4 linked regions of the Arabidopsis thaliana genome follow. The protein of the gene in region 1 interacts with the protein of each later gene in a pairwise test. Each region holds a gene or a part of one and is shown in the gene's direction. Other genes may lie near its edges. The genes, in order: PRR9, NF-YC2, BBX19 and BBX18.

Region 1 (5,286 bases):
ACCAGCCACACTTCAGTTCTCAGCAGCAATTTAGCTCTCAGCAACCTCCTCCTCCAATCCTCTCCCTCCCAACCTCTCTGGCTCTATCTTTACCTTCATCATCATCACCGTCCTCTTCAACTTCCACCTCAGGTTTGATTTCACAACACAATCTACATTGAAAACCATTTGTCACATTGTTTTGAATCATGCTTGATTCTTTGTTTTGTTTTGTATTAGCTGCAACAACAGCAACAAAAACAGTAGTTATAACTACAGCAACAAAGAAAGCAGAAACTGAAGCTAGCAGCAAAGATGGTAATGAAGCAATGACAACATCAACCATCAAGATAGAGGGTTGATTCAGAACTACTACAATAGCCAGAAGAAGGGACAAACTTCATTGTACACTAACTCATCATCAAATCTCTCCAACAACGTTCTAGAAACATTCATTCATCCATCGTTTTTAGGATTCTAGAATCTTAATTAGTACTTAGGAGGAGGAAGAAGAAGAAGAAACCATCATCACATTCTTTCTTTTTTTTTGTTGTTGTTTCAAATTGCATTTTAGGTAAAAGAATCAAGAGAAAGCATTGGTGGCTTTCTTTTAGATTCTTAAGAAAACTTGGATTGGTGCAGAAAGCATCATCAGATTATTACATTCATTTGGGGAATTTTATTTTTCAGGTTCAAAAGAAATGTTTTATGTCTTCTTTTGAACCTAAACAGGATTTTTAAGCTTCGGATAAGCTTAAAATCATTTCTTTTACATTTGTAATTCTTGAAATTGTTATAATTCAATCACATTGCTTCTTCTTACTATATTTGTTCGTTTATTATGATTATAAAATGTTTGATCAACCAAGAATCCGTTCATCGATCACTTTCACCTGGAGTTTTCTCGTGTTTTATAATCATAAAAAGATTGAACCTTTTTGATAATTATTTTGAATTCGTATGATCATTTTCTGAGAGTAAAATGATTATTGTCTTTGGATTCCAAAGGGGATCTTATGAAGACAAAAGTACCGGTCAAAAGACCGTTGGAATCAAACGGATCTTTTTCTTCGTCAATGGATAATATTTCACTTCTACTATTCTTTTAACAATTTTATAATAAAAACCAAACAAACAAAACATAGAGAATACATAAGTTATGGGCTTTTGAAAATCTAAGGCTTAAATTCTTATAAAGCCCATTAATTTTTATATGTGTAAGTAAGTTGGCCATAGAAAGCTTAAAGCCTTAGATATGTAAACACGCAAGAATATGGTAAGTTGTTTATTACGCACTGTCCACATCATAGATCGATAGATATTCTTTCCACGCAAAGCAAAGTTTTATTAAGATGGTTCTAGAATTCCTTCTTATCCACAGAAAATTTTTATATTCAAGAAAATCCAATTTTTCATTTGGAGTCGAAATTTACGCGGCCACTAACGAAATTTGATTTAATTAAAACTAGTGGGCATTTAATATTTGAAAATAATACTATTTGTTAAATCCCAATTGAAAATTTAATAACATTTAATATAATTAACTTTTTTGAAAAAAGGAACAAAAAAAGCCATCCAATTTGAATGATACATAGAGCAGCTGAAAAAAAAAAATCTACCTTTTAGAATTTATTAAATCCAACCAAAAATCAAACTTAGCCACACAATTACAATAGAAACCCACGTGTCATCCACATGACCACTAGATATTCAGACGAATATCTCCACTTCCGTAGAGCGATTAGGTTAATGACACGTGTTAAGGTGGACCTGCGAAGCAGAGGACCACCTCCACCGAATCAGCCGCGATACAGAGAAAATCAAAACAATGGCTCATATTAAGCCACGTCAGCTCAGTGAAGGCCCGCTTTGTTACACACCGTTAATTAGATTTCTCAAATTGTTTATTTGCTCTGAGCTTATACAACAAAGTCTTCTTCTTTCTCTGAGAAGATATTTTCGTGGTTGTGATCGAAAGATACCAAACTAAAGAGTTTAACTTTCTTCTTCCTTCTTCTTTACTTCAACATCTGATATTTTCTCTCTCTCTTTTATTCAGTCTGAAACAATATTTCTCGGTAGATTAAGATCTAAAGCTCGTTGATCTAGATTCTTGTTTCTATTTTTGTGTGTTTTAGGCTTTGTTGGTTTTACCAAGTGTTGTGATTCAGTTTGTTTTGAGGTCTGAGTCTATGGGGGAGATTGTGGTTTTAAGTAGTGATGATGGTATGGAGACTATAAAGAACAGAGTAAAGTCATCGGAAGTTGTTCAGTGGGAGAAGTATTTGCCTAAAACTGTACTTAGGGTTTTGTTAGTTGAATCTGATTACTCAACTCGTCAAATCATCACTGCCCTTCTTCGTAAATGCTGTTACAAAGGTCGATTGGTCTTTCCTTTCATTAGCTTATGTTAAAGTTTTCATTTTTATGTTTTGATGTTTGAAATTAAACTCGGTTCATGCTTTTTGATTGAATACAGTTGTAGCTGTTTCTGATGGTTTAGCTGCGTGGGAGGTTCTAAAGGAGAAGTCACATAACATTGATCTTATACTAACAGAGCTGGATTTGCCATCTATATCTGGTTTTGCTCTGCTTGCTTTGGTAATGGAGCATGAAGCTTGCAAGAACATTCCTGTCATAAGTACGATGGTGATCCCCTAAGTCCTTTATACCTCTAAAAACGCCTCTTTGTTAGTTTTTTGGTTCTTATGCTTTTGTTGTTTGTTTGAAATGAATAGTGATGTCTTCTCAAGATTCGATAAAAATGGTGTTGAAGTGTATGCTGAGAGGTGCTGCTGATTATCTAATCAAACCAATGAGGAAAAACGAGTTGAAAAATCTATGGCAACATGTTTGGAGAAGACTGACTGTAAATTTTTTATTTCCTTTTTTGAGGTTTCCTTGTGTTGAAGTTTGAAACTTGAAAGACTTATTGTCTTTTTTGGTTATGGATCAGTTGCGTGATGATCCTACTGCTCATGCTCAAAGCTTACCAGCTTCACAGCACAACCTTGAAGATACTGATGAAACTTGTGAAGATTCCAGATATCATTCAGATCAAGGAAGTGGTGCTCAGGTATAATAAATATTACCATCTGAGTTTTACATAATATATGTTCTGGTCCTTCTGAATTGTGTTTTGTATGAGTTGTGAGATTTTCATCTTGAGATTGCATTGTATATCTCATGTTTATCTCATTTTAGTAGAAGCTAATATCGTGTACATGCTTATGCAGGCTATCAATTACAATGGTCACAATAAGCTGATGGAGAATGGCAAATCAGTGGATGAAAGAGACGAGTTTAAGGAAACTTTTGATGTGACAATGGATTTGATTGGTGGAATTGACAAGCGTCCTGATAGTATTTATAAAGACAAGAGTCGAGATGAGTGTGTTGGTCCTGAGCTTGGACTTTCTCTGAAAAGATCTTGCTCTGTAAGTTTTGAGAACCAAGATGAAAGCAAGCATCAAAAGCTTAGCCTCTCTGATGCGTCGGCCTTCTCAAGGTATGCATGTTTCCTTGCTTGAATAAAGAATGCCTCAAATCTTGTAATTAGTGTTTTTAATCAATAACTCTACTTAACTTGCAGATTTGAGGAAAGCAAGTCAGCAGAAAAAGCCGTCGTTGCTTTAGAGGAGAGTACTTCAGGTGAGCCAAAGACACCAACCGAATCACATGAAAAGTTAAGAAAAGTAACATCTGATCAAGGAAGCGCCACAACGAGCAGCAACCAGGAGAATATCGGATCATCAAGCGTAAGCTTCCGTAACCAAGTTCTTCAGTCCACAGTAACGAATCAGAAGCAAGATTCACCCATACCGGTAGAATCAAATCGCGAGAAAGCAGCTAGCAAGGAAGTAGAAGCTGGTTCTCAAAGCACCAATGAGGGGATTGCTGGACAAAGCAGTAGCACAGAGAAACCAAAGGAAGAAGAAAGTGCGAAACAACGTTGGAGTAGAAGCCAGAGAGAAGCTGCATTGATGAAGTTCCGGTTGAAGAGGAAAGATCGATGCTTTGACAAAAAGGTAAGAGACACACAAGCTTCATCATAAAAACAGCATCTGAAACAAATACAAGATCAAACTGATTCAATGGAGATGTATAAAAATGGATTACAGGTTCGGTACCAGAGCAGGAAGAAGCTAGCAGAACAACGTCCTCGAGTGAAAGGCCAGTTCGTGCGAACCGTGAATTCAGACGCGTCTACAAAATCATGAAGAGCTCTTTCAGTTTTTCCTCTGATTTCTTTTGTTGATTTTATAACAGAAACTTATTTAGCTTTTGCAATCTTTAGTGTGCTTTTTTTTTTTATGTATTTGATTGGCTTCTTCTTCTCAGCTAATATGAGATACTGGGGCAACTTTTGTATATATGTCTGCAAATGATCAGGCTAAGCTAAAACAGTAATTCCAATTTCGTTAAGTTGAGAAATATTTCTTGTTGTGATCATATCCAGGCCGCTTCTCTCTCGATACATACCAACAAGAAACAGATTCTATAAAACTTGATTTATATACCATTGCTATAGTCTATGTATTAAAACTCATCACATTAATTCTCTCACAGTCAGAGAAACAAAAAAAGGAAACAAAAGCTATCGAAAGAAAAATCAACAAAGAAATCTTTTTTTGTGACCGTTAAACTAAGATTTTGTGACCGTTAATTGTGATTATCAGTTTCCTTTTCTTTGCTTATAAATAAATAATTAGTGAGAGTCTCAACGCTTCTTCTAAAACATTCGACAAATCAAAACTCTCTATCTCTCGCTTCTTCTTATTCTTCAACCCTAGTTCTCTTCTCAAGACAATTTTGTCTTCAAAGAGGAGACTACAAAGAGGAGGATATAGCCAAGAGAGGGGAGAGCTTTATGGTGGTGGATGATGTCACGAGAGGGCTACCAAAGACCGACGGGCTCAAATCTGACTTTGGAATGGGCTTTGCTCTATGGGCCCTTTTTGCTACTAAATCCAACAAGGTATTACTTTTTTCATTCTTTTTTTTTTTGTTTTATTTACCTTCAAAATTATTTTTAAGTAAAACTAATTAGTTTCACCATAACATTTATATAACTAAAATGTTTATATATTTTCATTAGTTTAAGTGTAAAATGTTTTTACACCTATATTTTATTATAACTTTAGATTTTTTTTATATAGATAAGTGTTAAATTTTTAAATTTTGTGTAAACTAATTGGATACATCATCCAAACCCCTAGGAGGTGTGCCAGGTTCAATATATGGTTTACACATTATTTAACTTTTTAACACTTGTTTTGCTTTTATTAAAAATGTTTTTAAACTTAC
Region 2 (4,220 bases), on another chromosome or scaffold:
AAGAGAAATAATGATTGATATATATACATAGGATTGTTGAGATGTGGGAAAAGTTGCCGACTAAGATGGATAAACTATCTGAGACCGGACGTGAAGCGAGGCAACTTTAGCAAAAAGGAGGAAGATGCTATCATTCACTACCATCAAACCCTTGGAAACAAGTTTGTACTCTACCTATTCATCTAATTTCTTTATAATAAGACAATATATAGTATGTAGAGACTAATTGATATATGTGATCATCAGGTGGTCAAAGATCGCGTCCTTCTTGCCGGGAAGAACTGACAACGAGATCAAAAACGTGTGGAACACGCATCTCAAGAAACGACTCACTCCATCTTCTTCTTCTTCATCCCTCTCTAGCACTCATGACCAAAGCACAAAAGCAGATCATGACAAGAACTGTGACGGGGCTCAAGAAGAAATACATTCAGGGTTAAATGAGAGCCAAAACTCAGCTACTTCGTCACATCACCAAGGCGAGTGTATGCACACAAAACCAGAGCTTCATGAGGTTAATGGACTCAACGAGATCCAGTTCCTGCTCGACCATGATGACTTTGATGATATAACCTCTGAGTTTCTTCAGGATAACGATATCTTATTTCCGCTAGACTCTCTTCTTCATAACCACCAAACTCACATTTCAACCCAAGAAATGACTCGAGAGGTAACCAAATCGCAATCATTTGATCATCCTCAACCGGATATCCCATGCGGATTTGAAGACACAAACGAAGAATCCGACTTGAGGAGACAGCTGGTTGAATCAACCACACCTAACAATGAGTACGACGAGTGGTTCAACTTCATTGACAACCAAACTTACTTTGATGATTTTAATTTCGTCGGAGAAGTATGTCTATGAATGTCAATAATATATGCATGACCAGTGTTGTATCCACTTTTGAATGTTGAGTAAATTACTATTTTACATGGATTGCCCATGCATTGAGAAGATGCTATGTTTTATGAGAGCTCTATGATATTGGTTCGTTTTTCGGCTAGATTCACACAAACAACTCTTCTCTTTTCCTTCTCGATCACTCTTATGGCTGCTCTCAGAGTCTCCGTTTTCAGAGGCCAAAACAGGTCGCAGGTTGATGGCTGGCAATGGCAGCATCGACTGCTTCCGGTGTGTCGAGATCAGGCGCCACACCAAGCATCAAGTCCTGAAATCGAATTAGGTGTGTGTAAGTTTCTTAGCCTAGATACAAACAACAAGAAATATGACTCCAACTGTACTCATCATTTCAATCACTTGATATTTGCTTCCTGTAAGGGCTTCAATGTCAAAAGCTTCTGAATTATCCTAAGTCCATACATATTTGAGAGACTGAGACGGTCTCAGTGAGACCAAACAGAAGAAGAAAAGAAAAGAAAAAAACAGAACAAATACTACAAAGAATACACAAACTTTTGATTCTTGCTCCAACCGTTTATTAAAGCACATGACCTGTTTGGGATCATCACATATCACACTAGAATCACAAAAACTACAAATTTCACAGCTCCGAGCACGCAATGATTAACAGAAATCCGACAACTACACCAATCTCTTACAGATTAAAACACAAAGAAGAGAGCTTGTGTAAGTTAAACACGTATGGTAAATACATTAGCAGTAAGAAGATACCTTGGCTTCTGAAAAGTGGAGCAATTGTGGACTTCACATAGAGGGATGGAGGAGACTGTTCTGCTCCTTACAGAACAAAACTAGCGACGACTCTGCACATAATTATCGGCATAATTAAACAAAGTCTGGCTCTTTCGAACCCCAAAGAAGAGTGGCGATAGCAAAGATGGATCCTTTGCCTCTGCAACTTCTTTCGATGGTTTCCTTTCCTCTGCTTCCCGTTTCCCTTTACTCTGTTGACAATTAGGGTCAAGTTTTGATCCGGCCCGGGTGATTTACAGCCCACAAGGTCCAATGGGCTTCTTCGAAAATAAGTTTGCGCGACGTTGCAAATGTCACGTGACTTTTGTTCACGCGCACTTCACGTGTTCTTCGTTATTCTTCGAAACCGTCCGATAAAGAAATTTCTGGAATAACACAACATAACCAATGAAAAGCATACAGGTGGAAGTAACGTAAAAACTCCCGCTTTTTCGACACGTGTCAACTAGGCGGAAGATACGCACCACCAGAAACGCTTGATAAAAAGCTAACCCGCCCCAAACCCATTTATCTTAGGGTTTCGCGAGATCTCACTCTCACTGGTATGTCTGTGTTTCTTCTTCCATTTTCTGTTTCTATTGGAAACTTCTCTCTCCAATTTCGTTTTCTTCACTTCTTTGATCCTTTAGCTTTGACAAAACCGTAGTAAAGGATCAAAAGTTATCATCTTTGGTCCATGTTGTGAATCGTGCTCTGCTTGGGTCGTGACTCCCAAATCCGGATTTGAAACCAGCATATCTGAGCTTAATTCGAGCATGCATGCGCTTCTTTTTTTCTGATTTTTTTTAGACTTTGGTTCTAAATCCCTTAACTTTGGATTAACTGTCAATCTACAATTTTATATTAACAGAGATAGCTTAGCAATGGAGCAGTCAGAAGAGGGTCAACAGCAACAGCAACAGGGAGTGATGGATTATGTACCTCCTCATGCTTATCAGAGTGGGCCAGTAAATGCAGCTTCCCATATGGCATTCCAACAAGCTCACCACTTCCACCACCACCATCAGCAGCAACAACAGCAGCAGCTTCAGATGTTCTGGGCTAACCAAATGCAAGAGATCGAGCATACCACTGATTTCAAGAACCACACCCTTCCCCTAGCCCGCATCAAGAAGATCATGAAAGCTGATGAAGATGTGAGGATGATCTCTGCGGAGGCTCCTGTGATTTTTGCCAAGGCCTGTGAGATGTTCATTTTGGAGCTCACTCTACGTGCTTGGATCCACACCGAGGAGAACAAGAGGAGGACCTTGCAGAAGAACGACATCGCCGCTGCCATTTCCAGGACCGACGTGTTTGATTTCCTTGTGGACATAATCCCGAGGGACGAGCTGAAAGAAGAAGGTTTAGGCGTGACCAAAGGGACCATACCATCGGTGGTGGGTTCCCCGCCATACTATTACTTGCAACAACAGGGGATGATGCAACACTGGCCCCAGGAGCAACACCCTGATGAGTCTTAAAACTTTTCCCCTTTCGTTTGTTTGGTTGTATCGTAGTAAGGTAGCTCTGCTCTGCTGGGAACCATTTCTATTGTGTTCTGTAATGACATGTTAGTATATCCCCAGTCTATATCTATGGCAATGCAGTTTCTGTTCTCATGTGCATTAAATAATAACAAGAATGATAGAAAGAAAATCACTACTAGTAATGCCCAAAACTTTACTTCACAGGAATTCAACTATACAGCTTTCATGTGATTGCTACTTTACAACCATTTTCTTTATGCTATTAAAAGCTTGGCTCCTATTCCTTTAAAGTTTAAACCTTGTCATCCTCCACATCTCCCTTAGTGGATAAAACCTTAACTTACTTGAACATGGATCCAAAGATACAAGTCCCTTCTCGCCATTCCAGTTGCAGTCAGGTGGTTTATATACCGAGATACCGAGAGCTTATCTGCTTCGGTCTCCATGCATTCCAAATGAGTTTTTTTTTTATGGGCTGTCCGTATTAGTAATAAATTACAGAAAATGCTGGTGCTTCAATCATTTGCTTGAAGACATGGCTTCCTCAATCCTTCTAATCACAATGCTAAGAGGACTTCCCACTTGGAGAGCTTCAACAGCGGCCCTATGTGCTGCCTTGTGCCACTTGAGTAGATTGTAAGATTGTAGAACAGACCACCTGGCTTGATTCGACATCTGTATGATCAAACGCACAGATTCGCAATGCTTAACAATCTGTACACTTGTGCAAGAAAAGTGGAAGCACATATTATACTAGTCAAATCAGATATATATGAATTTCATTAGTCCTGACCTGAGCTACGGATAACGGTGGTTCCAGAAGGACTGAGATGCTCCTGAACAGATTTTCATCATTCTCTCCACCCTCAGCCTCACCATAAACTAGCGCTTCAGCTGCAATACCAGCAAATAGTACCATGCTATACCTAAGAGAAACTGAACCAGCATTAGGTTTGTGAATGAGAGAAAACTCAGAGGGAGAGAACAACACCTTGACTAATAATCACCTATCAAATGAGCTACCGCTAAGTCGTCCCTCAGCAATCTCACTCTCCATCTTTTGATCCCAGAAT
Region 3 (4,878 bases), on another chromosome or scaffold:
AAAAAGTAACTTGGAGTTTACTTAGTCAAAACTCAATGAAACCTTATCAATTGCACCAACAGAACATTTAATCATTATCACAAAATGCATCTCAATCTTGAACCAGAATACTAAGATTTTGCGTCTATAAAGTGCGTGTCTTGTCTACATCTCTAACAAGCAAGATAAAGAAACATGCAAAGGAGCTGTTTTTACCTTGTGAGTGAGTTGTCTTCTTCTTCCTCCTCTAAAGGGAATAATGCGGTTCCAGAAAGAATCCTCTTGTGTCTCACTCTTCGCACTCCGAAGCTCTAAACTGCAAGCAAACATCCACTACAGAATTCAGCAATGACAACACAGATTCGAAATTTTGCAATTGTTTTGTACTTCTCCATTAGTGACTTTATCAATGAATGACACAAACCCAAACAACAAAACCAGATTTTGAAAAAGTAACTATTATCTTTTGGGGCACATGAAAAAGGAAAGTAGTCAGAAGTAGTAATCCAAGATGTCACGGTTGAGAGAAACAACAATGTGAAGTTTTCTTCTGAAAGGGAACCCTAAAGAGTGCCGGAATTGGAAACACAACAGTGCTCACCGGAAAACCAAAAGAAAACAAAACGGAAAGATTTGTAAAAGAAAAAGAGAGAGAAATGACAATGTTAATCCCACCCACTTCCTCCTGCTACTGCCTACAAGTTTGGTAGTTGTTTGTTCTTCGTCGTAGTCGTCGTCGTCTTCTTCTTCTTAACTTTTGTCTGAAGGGACCACTCCATTGATTTGGTCCCAAAGATTCTCTCTTTTCTTCTATTCGCCGGTTTCTCAGACTCTCTCTCTCTCGGCTTGGGTAGTTAATGACCGGTTTACCCCTGAAACTTAATTAGGAACCTTAAACCCGCCACGTGGACCTCACACTCCACTTCATCGTAGCCCATTAGTGAGAGACCTTTTCTCCCGGCCCAGAAGGTCATAATGATATTTTGATAACAAATATAATGGATATCTAGCCCAACATTACAAGTAAAGCCCAACATTTAGCAATGATGCACATGGCAGGCAAACTCTCTTCTTTGGATGCTCTGTTTTTTATAAAAACCATAATCTATATTTTCAACAGAAGAGAACATTGTAATTATGCAAATATTGATTCTCGTGTTTATGAATAGGGTGCGTCAAAACTTTTCTTTCAAATTTTACAAATGCCAAAGTGTCATAAAACAAGCTACAAAAGAATGTTTATGGAGGAGAGAAAGAATAAACTTTGGGATGAAAAGAAAAAAAAACTAAGATAATTGTGAAGATGTTAGTTAAATGAAATTGAGAAGATGGGCAAGGAAATAAAAACAACATTAAACCAAGGCCACTAGTAGAGTTTTGAGAGTTGCTTTCAACTACTTCTCGACCACCAATTTTTTAAATGGCTGGTGACATTTGGCCCACCCACCTCTTTGTCTTTTTTTTTAATTCCTTTTGTGGCTCTTATTTTTTCCCCCTTTTTTATTTATTTTAGTTTATATTTTTACTTTTAAAAATAGTCACACGTCCTAAATCTTAGCACATTATGTTGCCTAAAACTATTTCAGCTGCCGTCAAAAAAAGGAAGAAAAAAAATCAGATATAGGATCCAAGAAATCATATAAAGATTGTGACAAAAAAAACTTTTTCACCAAAACAAAGGAAACAAGACAACGAATGTGTTTCAGGGAGACACATCAATGACCTCCCAGATGGCATTGAGTCTTTCGTCTTCACTTTTTAGTCGATATCATTTTTCTTTTTGTCTGATAATGGTCTCTGATATAATGGACTTTAAACAATCTTATAACTCAAAACCATATCCACTATAAAAGATTTGGTCTTCCCAATATTTTCTCCTAAATCATACTACACACATTTCTTGTTAGGTACTACTTTAATCATAATTTTCGTTAGTCAAAACACACAATTAAAGAAAAAAAGTAATTGATTGGAGAAATTTACTCAAAGTAGTAATTAACAGATTTTGCCTTGTCACAGCAAAGTATGCTTATTTGATACTCTCGGCGCGTGGATTTGGTCGTCGTCTCTTCTGGTCTCTCAAGCTTCTCCTCCATCGTAGAAAAAGATTTTAAAGGAGCGATTTTTATAATCTTAAATAATTTCTTCCCTTTCTTCTTCTTCTTCTAGTTCCTTGATACCAACGCGTAATCCTAACCCTTAATCTACTTCCTCCTTAATTAATCAGAGGTTTCTACTTATTATTTCCACTTCTCATCTCTTTCAATCGCAATCTGAGTTCTGGCTAAAGATTTTGTCTTGAAGGTGAGATTCATTGTTCCGAATAGAGTGAGAAAAAGACTTATAAGATTGAAAAAGCAAGATGCGGATTTTGTGCGATGCTTGCGAGAACGCAGCCGCAATCATCTTTTGCGCCGCCGATGAAGCTGCCCTTTGTCGCCCCTGCGATGAAAAAGTAACTTCTCTCCCAAAAAAGCTTCCTTTTTTTCTTTAACTCTCCTCTCTATCTATTGGTTGTGCTCTGATGGGTTCGTCAAAGATCAAGTCTTTGTTATCTCTGTCTGGGAATTCTCAGTTGATTTGGACCTGAGTTGATCTGGCTTTTCGATAACTTTGAGCTAAAGAAATAAGATTTTTGAGATTTGGTTTCTAGATTCTTAGGCTCTTCACATGAGATTAGATATTTCGAAGTGTAGTGAATCCGTCAAAAGAGTTCAAATAGTTGAAACCTCTTCTCTCATTTGGTGGATTAAGATGGTTCAGTTGATGAATTTACATGTTTGATTACATGAGTGTTTGTTGCTGCGGTTTCAATGATTCTACTCTGTCATGTACATTGCAGGGAACGTTTTGTCTCCAGAGTTTGCATTTAGTAGTATTAACTTCTGGAGAAGAAAATAATCGATTTTCTGCTCTTTGCGCTTAATCCTTACTTCAGTTAGATGACTCTTAAGGGTAACACTTTATAGTCCTTCTCGAGTCATTGGTTCATCCTTCTCTACTGCAATAGCTCTTAGTAGTTTTCGGATTTTGATCGGAAATGGATTACTTCAAAGCTTTGTAATGTTTTCTTCTTTCAGGTTCATATGTGCAACAAGCTAGCTAGTCGGCATGTACGTGTTGGTTTAGCTGAACCAAGCAATGCCCCATGCTGTGATATATGCGAAAATGCACCTGGTATGATCTCTTTACAATGAACTTCCCACACTCGTGTTTAATGTTTTCGCATATGTACATATATTGAAAAATGAAGAGAAATCTTTTGTCTGCAATGTTTTTTGTTGTGAGAACAGCCTTCTTTTACTGTGAGATAGACGGTAGTTCTCTTTGTCTGCAATGTGACATGGTAGTACATGTTGGTGGCAAGAGAACACACGGTCGGTTTCTTTTGCTGAGACAGAGAATCGAGGTTTGAATTAACTAATTGTTTCTTTCTCACGCAGACACACAATCATTTTGAGTCGATTTCTTAGTTTTAATAGTCATCTTGTGTTTATCGTTTCTTGTAGTTTCCAGGGGATAAGCCTAAAGAAAACAATACGAGGGACAATTTGCAGAACCAAAGAGTCTCTACAAATGGAAATGGTGAAGCCAATGGGAAGATTGATGACGAAATGATTGATCTAAATGCTAATCCACAAAGAGTACATGAGCCATCATCAAATAACAACGTATATGAATCCCTCTATCCAACATATTCTCAATCTTTGTTTTTGTATTCTCAATTCGAATGTTTCTCAATGAGCAGGGGATTGATGTAAATAACGAGAACAATCACGAGCCTGCAGGCCTTGTACCAGTTGGACCCTTTAAACGAGAGTCTGAGAAGTGATAAGGTGAGAGAGAGAGAGAGAAAGAGACTCTTTACTCTGATTCAAAAAATCAGTTTAAGAAGAAGATTGTAAAAAGTTTCAAGAACTGGAGATTTCATGTCCGTTTTTTTTCCTTCCTTCTGATTCTTAGATCGTTGCTGGTGTAACCGAGCTTTGTTGTTGAAGAGGGAAGGTTTATGTTGTTTGTGCATTATCTTAGTTTTAAGGAATTAGCTTAAGTGCTCACATGAATGTAAGCTAATCTCTGAAATTCTAAATAATTTTATTTGTTTCTGTTTTTTTTTCTTAATAAAATCCTCTGGGAAATGGACGAAAAAGAAAGAAGACGAAAAATTGGGCCAATTAAAAGATTAAGCCCACTTAATATGCAAAGGCCCCATGAGGCTAAGCGTTGTCCTTTGAGAATTGTAAGCTTCGTGGAGACCATTTCCTCCTGTATCCTCTTTGTTCAAAATTTAAAATTGGTTGATTATGGAATAGTTGTAGTTTCAAGTTTAAATAGATCAAGAGAGATAGATAACTTCAATATAATAGAACTTATTAAAAGGAGTAGCTAACGCAAAGTAAGCAGAGAAAATAATGATTTGACATGATTAATAACAAGCAAACTCAAAAACAAATGTGATTAAAACATCTGCTTCATCTCTTTTTTCACAGCATCATCTCTTCAATAGGTGTACCCTTTGACGAACATGCCCTCCTTAGCCTCTTCGGACTCACCCTCACCGGTGTATTTTCCGAGCTGAGCCAACGAATTGGCCTTGGCACGGGCCAAGAGAGTGGTCTGAGCTGCGTTCACGTTCTCGGGTCTGCCGCCCCATGTTTTCAGACAAGTGTTCTGCAACGCACGTGCGTAGGAGAAGGACACGTGCCATGGGTTTGGTGCCTGGTTCATTGCGTTCAAGTTGAGTGTTGCCTCCACCTCCGACTGTCCTCCGGACAAAAACTGCAAATAACAAAAAAAACAAGAAACAATGTTACTTCTACCTCAAGCAACCAATATTAGGCTTTGCCTCATAAAACACCTTTTCGTTGTATTGAATCGAACAATCTTTTAATTGTGAAG
Region 4 (4,467 bases), about 10 Mb from region 1:
TAGGTAATTGTCAGTACTTTATCACGTTTATTGATGACCTTACAAGAAAAGTATGGATTTATTTTCTGAAGAAGAAAGAACATTTCTTCTCTTGTATGTTGATGATATGTTGATCATATCAAAGAACAAGGAAACAGTCAAGGAATTAAAGGAAAGACTGAGTTCAGAGTTTGAAATGAAGGATTTGGGGCCTGCAAGGAAAATTCTGGGAATGGAGATAACAAGAAACCGAGAAGAAAATATTTTGGAGTTATCTCAGAGAAGTTATCTGCAAAAGGTGTTAAAGACATTCAGAATGGATGAATGCAAGCCTGTTAAAACACCATTGGCACCACATATGAAGTTTGTAGCAGCAACAGAGACTGAAGCAGAGGAGCAAGCTGATCAAATGAAGTCTATACCTTATGCAAATGCAGTGGGAAGCATAATGTATTCTATGATCGGGTCAAGGCCTGACCTTGCTCATCCTGTTGGAGTCATAAGTAGGTTTATGAGTAAACCATTGATGAATCATTGGCTAGGTGTGAAATGGGTTCTCCGTTACATTAAGGGGTCTATTGATTCAAGGCTGCAGTACAAGAGAGAAGGTGATTTTGTGGTGACAGGGTACTGTGATTCAGATCACTCTGGAGATCGTGATCGAAGTAGATCGACCACAGGGTACACATTCACTGTAGGAGGGAACATAGTAAGCTGGAGGTCATGCTTGCAGCCAGTTGTTGCACTGTCATCAACAGAGGCTGAGTATATAGCCTTAACAGAGGCTGCAAAAGAAGCATATTGGCTAAAAGACTTGATGAATGAGCTGGGATTTAAACAAGGAGCGGTAGATATCCATTGTGATTCTCAGAGTGCTATAGCTTTAGCAAAGAATGCAGTTCATCATGAAAGGACAAAGCATATCCAGAGAAGGTTTCATTACATCAGAGATGCAATCACTGATGGAGAAGTGAAAGTGCTGAAAATATCCACAGTTCATAATCCATCGGATATTTTCACAAAGGTGGTACCGGTTAACAAGTTCCTGAGCGCGTTGAAGAAGCTCAGGGTTACAAGTGCCTGATAAGGGATCATGGTCCGAGATGGAAATCAAGTTACACTAGAAGGGAAGCAAAGGAAAGGTTGACACTAAGGCAAGGTGAAGTTTTGTGGAAGTATTGCCTAAAGTGTCATAAAGACTCTAATCCAAAGAGAAGGTCTCAGCTTGTGAAAGAAACGAAGTCACGAGAGGCGCACGTGCTTTGTCATACAGCTCATCAAGGCTAGAGACGTAATTAACCTCTTGCCAATGGTTCAACCATTTTGTCTCTTTGTCTCTGCATTTGAAACAGAGTACGGAAGAAGAGAGAGGAGCGTGGCGGTGAGTAGAGTTGTATAAAGGAGAAGATAAGTGAGACATTAGGGTTAAGAGAGTAAGTGCAAGAGAGGCAGCTGAAAGTTTATTCAGTCTTGTTTCTAAGGGTTTGTGTAACCAAGGCTTTCTAGTGGATTTCCGGGTAATCTCGGTCCAGACGTAGCGTTCATCACTGAACGTGAACTGGGTTAACATTTGCTTGTGTCTGTTTTACTTTCTTTGTCTAAACACACGAGTGATCGAACAAAGAGAGATTTAGTGAGAGCTTCCGCATAAAACAGTTAAAGATTCAAGCTTTTTTTTTTTACATCAACATTTACTAATAAAAATGTATAGTTGAATTTTCAATATTATATGCTCCAATTGATACTTCAGAATGTGTTAAGATTTTCAGCTTAGCAAAAGTACACAAAAACTATAGTAGAATAGTTCAAAAAAAATTACAATAACAATTAATGATAAATTTTGAGACCATTTTTGACACTGCAATTTCCTTTTAAAATAATTAATAACAAATTAACAATCAAAATGGTGTATACACTCACCTACCATTCAAACCCATAATTTCATATAGAACATATTCCTAAAAATGTGAAAAAATTTTAAAAGATTAAAAAATATTTGACAAAGAGTCAAATACAAAAAAAAAAAAAAAAAATCCTATCTATGTTTAATTTTGGCCATCAGAAGGGAAATCAAATAAAGGGGAGATAGAGCGAGTATACATATACAAGCTACTCGCAGCGTCTGCAAATTCATCTATCCATCATATTTCTCTGCTGCTCTCTGCTTTCTTCTTCTTCTTCTTCTTCTTCTTCTTCTTCTTCTTCTTCTTCTTAGTTTGATTCAAAAAATCTCCTTCCTCTTCTTACTTTATCTCGTATTATCCATTAATCCTAAACCCTTTAGTCTCTCCATCTTCCGCTTCAACAATCAGAATTTGGGTTTGGCGAAAGATGCTAACTTTGAAAGTGAGACTAATCGTTTGAGTAAAAAACATGCGAATTTTGTGTGATGCTTGTGAGAGCGCCGCCGCTATCGTCTTTTGCGCCGCCGACGAAGCTGCCCTCTGTTGCTCCTGCGACGAAAAAGTAACCACCTTTACCTGAAAAAAATCTCATTTTTCTTAAAGTAACACTTTTATCTCAACAAATGCAAAAATTTGGAATTTTTGAGACAATATCTAGTTGAAGTGCTAAATTTATAGATTTTGAGGTTATTATAACTCGAACATGGCCAAAGTAGTACCAAAAGTTGTGTTTTGATTGTTAAAGAAACATTCTAGTGATTTTAGCTTGTCATAATTTGAACTTTGCATATAGCAGTTCTCTGGTGATACACTTTATTTACAGTTACAGTCACTCTATTGAAGCTGGAAGAGCTATGAGACTTTTTGTTATCTGCAATGGCTTTGATTGAGGACGTGGTTAGATATAAGTTATAAGAAAGAAACATTTTTGTTTGTGTGTTTAGGTTCATAAGTGCAACAAGCTGGCTAGTCGGCATCTTCGTGTAGGCTTAGCTGATCCGAGTAATGCACCAAGCTGTGACATATGCGAAAATGCACCCGGTATTGATATGATTCCTCTTTCTTTAGTGTATAAGAGGAAGCGGAAGTTTCAGTTTTTGACATGTTTGTTTTGTTGTTGATCGATGAACAGCATTCTTTTACTGTGAGATAGATGGTAGTTCCCTTTGTCTACAATGTGATATGGTGGTACATGTTGGTGGGAAGAGAACACATAGGCGGTTTCTATTACTGAGACAGAGAATTGAGGTTTGACTTTTGAAAATGCAAGGATCTTGAAGCATTCTTGATTTGTGGTATTGACTGTTCTTTACAATGTTGTGTTCTTGTAGTTTCCAGGCGATAAGCCTAATCATGCTGACCAACTGGGACTACGGTGTCAAAAGGCTTCCTCTGGTCGTGGTCAAGAATCAAATGGGAATGGTGATCATGATCATAATATGATCGATCTTAACTCCAATCCTCAAAGAGTACACGAGCCTGGATCACATAACCAAGTACGTGTATCTTATCTAGATGAACATAATCAATCTTGCCTCAGTGTCTCTAAAGCTGTTTTGTTTGTGTTTCAAGGAGGAGGGTATTGATGTAAATAACGCAAACAATCACGAGCATGAATAGTGATCGCAGATACACAAGATCAAGTAAGAACCTATGCAAGAACAGTATCTTTACAGGGAAATGTCTTATTTTGTTTTGAAGAAATTAGCTTAGAGGAAACAAATATGTTGTTTTCTGAATTTCTTCTCTTTTCCTTTCTTTTGTGAAATGATCAATTAGTGGATAACGATTCTTCAGAGTTATATCTCAAATATATGATTTTCTCTCTTCTCACATTCAGACAAAGCTTTAATAGAAAATAGTAAAATGGTTAGCCATTAAAGGAGATGCCTTCTTGGCTCGGTTTAAGTGATCACCATGAGCCATGACTATTATCTTCTTCTTCTCTCTCTGATTAGTTTTGTTAACTCTGAGTTATAAACATGAGTAATTTGAGAGTCATATGATCTTGAACTGCAATCTCTCATTACTCAAGTCTCAACATACTGTTTCGATGTTTCTCGCTCCATTTTTTTGAACATAAATTGTAATGTCATTTTCCTGCATTAGATGTGATTTTGAGCTCAGAGAGCATAATGTTACTAGTTTCATAACTTGTAAAGACAGAGTTTTTGAGTGATAACAATGATAGAAACAGACTACTAACTCAATTATTAGTAGTAACGAGTAGGTACTAAGATATTAACCATGAAGAAACAAAACTAGTCTCACATGATAACACAGAACTGACTTTTATACCTGAAGAAGAGTATAATAACTCAAATGACCAGAATCAAGCTCAAGTTTTTGAGTTTTGATCTATGGAACCATTATTACAAATAGCTTAGTAGGTGTAGCCTTTTACAAACATACCCTCCTTGGCTTCCTCAGACTCGCCTTCTCCAGTGTATTTCCCGAGCTGAGCCAGCGAATTGGCTTTGGCTCTGGCCAAGAGAATGTCCTGAGCCGCCTTCACGTTCTCTTCCTTGCCTCCCCATGTCTTCAAGCAAGTGTTCTGCAAGGCACGTGCGTAGGAGAAGGACAC

The links.
Region 2: the proteins of PRR9 (region 1) and NF-YC2 interact in binary tests that used the Arabidopsis thaliana proteins (3 or more experiments, as listed by UniProt).
Region 3: the proteins of PRR9 (region 1) and BBX19 interact in binary tests that used the Arabidopsis thaliana proteins (3 or more experiments, as listed by UniProt).
Region 4: the proteins of PRR9 (region 1) and BBX18 interact in binary tests that used the Arabidopsis thaliana proteins (3 or more experiments, as listed by UniProt).

What each region holds. Positions count from the first base shown.
Region 1 is NC_003071.7:19,230,703-19,235,988, forward strand, and holds PRR9 (pseudo-response regulator 9), read left to right. Parts: upstream 1-1,904; 5' UTR 1,905-2,171; coding exon 2,172-2,358; intron 2,359-2,458; coding exon 2,459-2,620; exon of another isoform or gene 2,621-2,628; intron 2,629-2,717; coding exon 2,718-2,848; exon of another isoform or gene 2,849-2,926; coding exon of another isoform or gene 2,927-2,935; coding exon 2,936-3,055; intron 3,056-3,215; coding exon 3,216-3,487; intron 3,488-3,571; coding exon 3,572-4,007; coding exon of another isoform or gene 4,008-4,034; exon of another isoform or gene 4,035-4,100; coding exon 4,101-4,199; 3' UTR 4,200-4,477; downstream 4,478-5,286. Other genes in the region: AT2G46780 (RNA-binding (RRM/RBD/RNP motifs) family protein), read left to right, coding at 1-132, 220-341. UniProt on the Arabidopsis thaliana protein: Transcriptional repressor of CCA1 and LHY, and positive regulator of LWD1 and LWD2 expression. Controls photoperiodic flowering response and temperature compensation. Involved in the positive and negative feedback loops of the circadian clock.
Region 2 is NC_003070.9:21,022,577-21,026,796, forward strand, and holds NF-YC2 (nuclear factor Y, subunit C2), read left to right. Parts: upstream 1-1,905; 5' UTR 1,906-2,220; exon of another isoform or gene 2,221-2,528; 5' UTR 2,529-2,541; coding exon 2,542-3,141; 3' UTR 3,142-3,326; downstream 3,327-4,220. Other genes in the region: MYB72 (myb domain protein 72), read left to right, coding at 32-161, 247-868; AT1G56180 (ATP-dependent zinc metalloprotease), read right to left, coding at 3,667-3,822, 3,941-4,073, 4,155-4,220. UniProt on the Arabidopsis thaliana protein: Stimulates the transcription of various genes by recognizing and binding to a CCAAT motif in promoters.
Region 3 is NC_003075.7:18,159,235-18,164,112, forward strand, and holds BBX19 (B-box type zinc finger family protein), read left to right. Parts: upstream 1-1,853; 5' UTR 1,854-2,341; coding exon 2,342-2,434; intron 2,435-2,640; coding exon 2,641-2,736; intron 2,737-2,821; coding exon 2,822-2,854; exon of another isoform or gene 2,855-2,934; intron 2,935-3,059; coding exon 3,060-3,156; intron 3,157-3,272; coding exon 3,273-3,388; intron 3,389-3,488; coding exon 3,489-3,650; coding exon of another isoform or gene 3,651-3,727; coding exon 3,728-3,811; 3' UTR 3,812-4,087; downstream 4,088-4,878. Other genes in the region: FBA2 (fructose-bisphosphate aldolase 2), read right to left, coding at 4,480-4,758.
Region 4 is NC_003071.7:9,124,150-9,128,616, forward strand, and holds BBX18 (B-box zinc finger family protein), read left to right. Parts: upstream 1-2,113; 5' UTR 2,114-2,352; coding exon 2,353-2,445; intron 2,446-2,827; coding exon 2,828-2,924; intron 2,925-3,015; coding exon 3,016-3,131; intron 3,132-3,214; coding exon 3,215-3,379; intron 3,380-3,455; coding exon 3,456-3,503; 3' UTR 3,504-3,838; downstream 3,839-4,467. Other genes in the region: FBA1 (fructose-bisphosphate aldolase 1), read right to left, coding at 4,267-4,467. UniProt on the Arabidopsis thaliana protein: Acts as a negative regulator of seedling photomorphogenesis. Acts as a negative regulator of blue light-mediated inhibition of hypocotyl elongation through increase of bioactive gibberellin levels.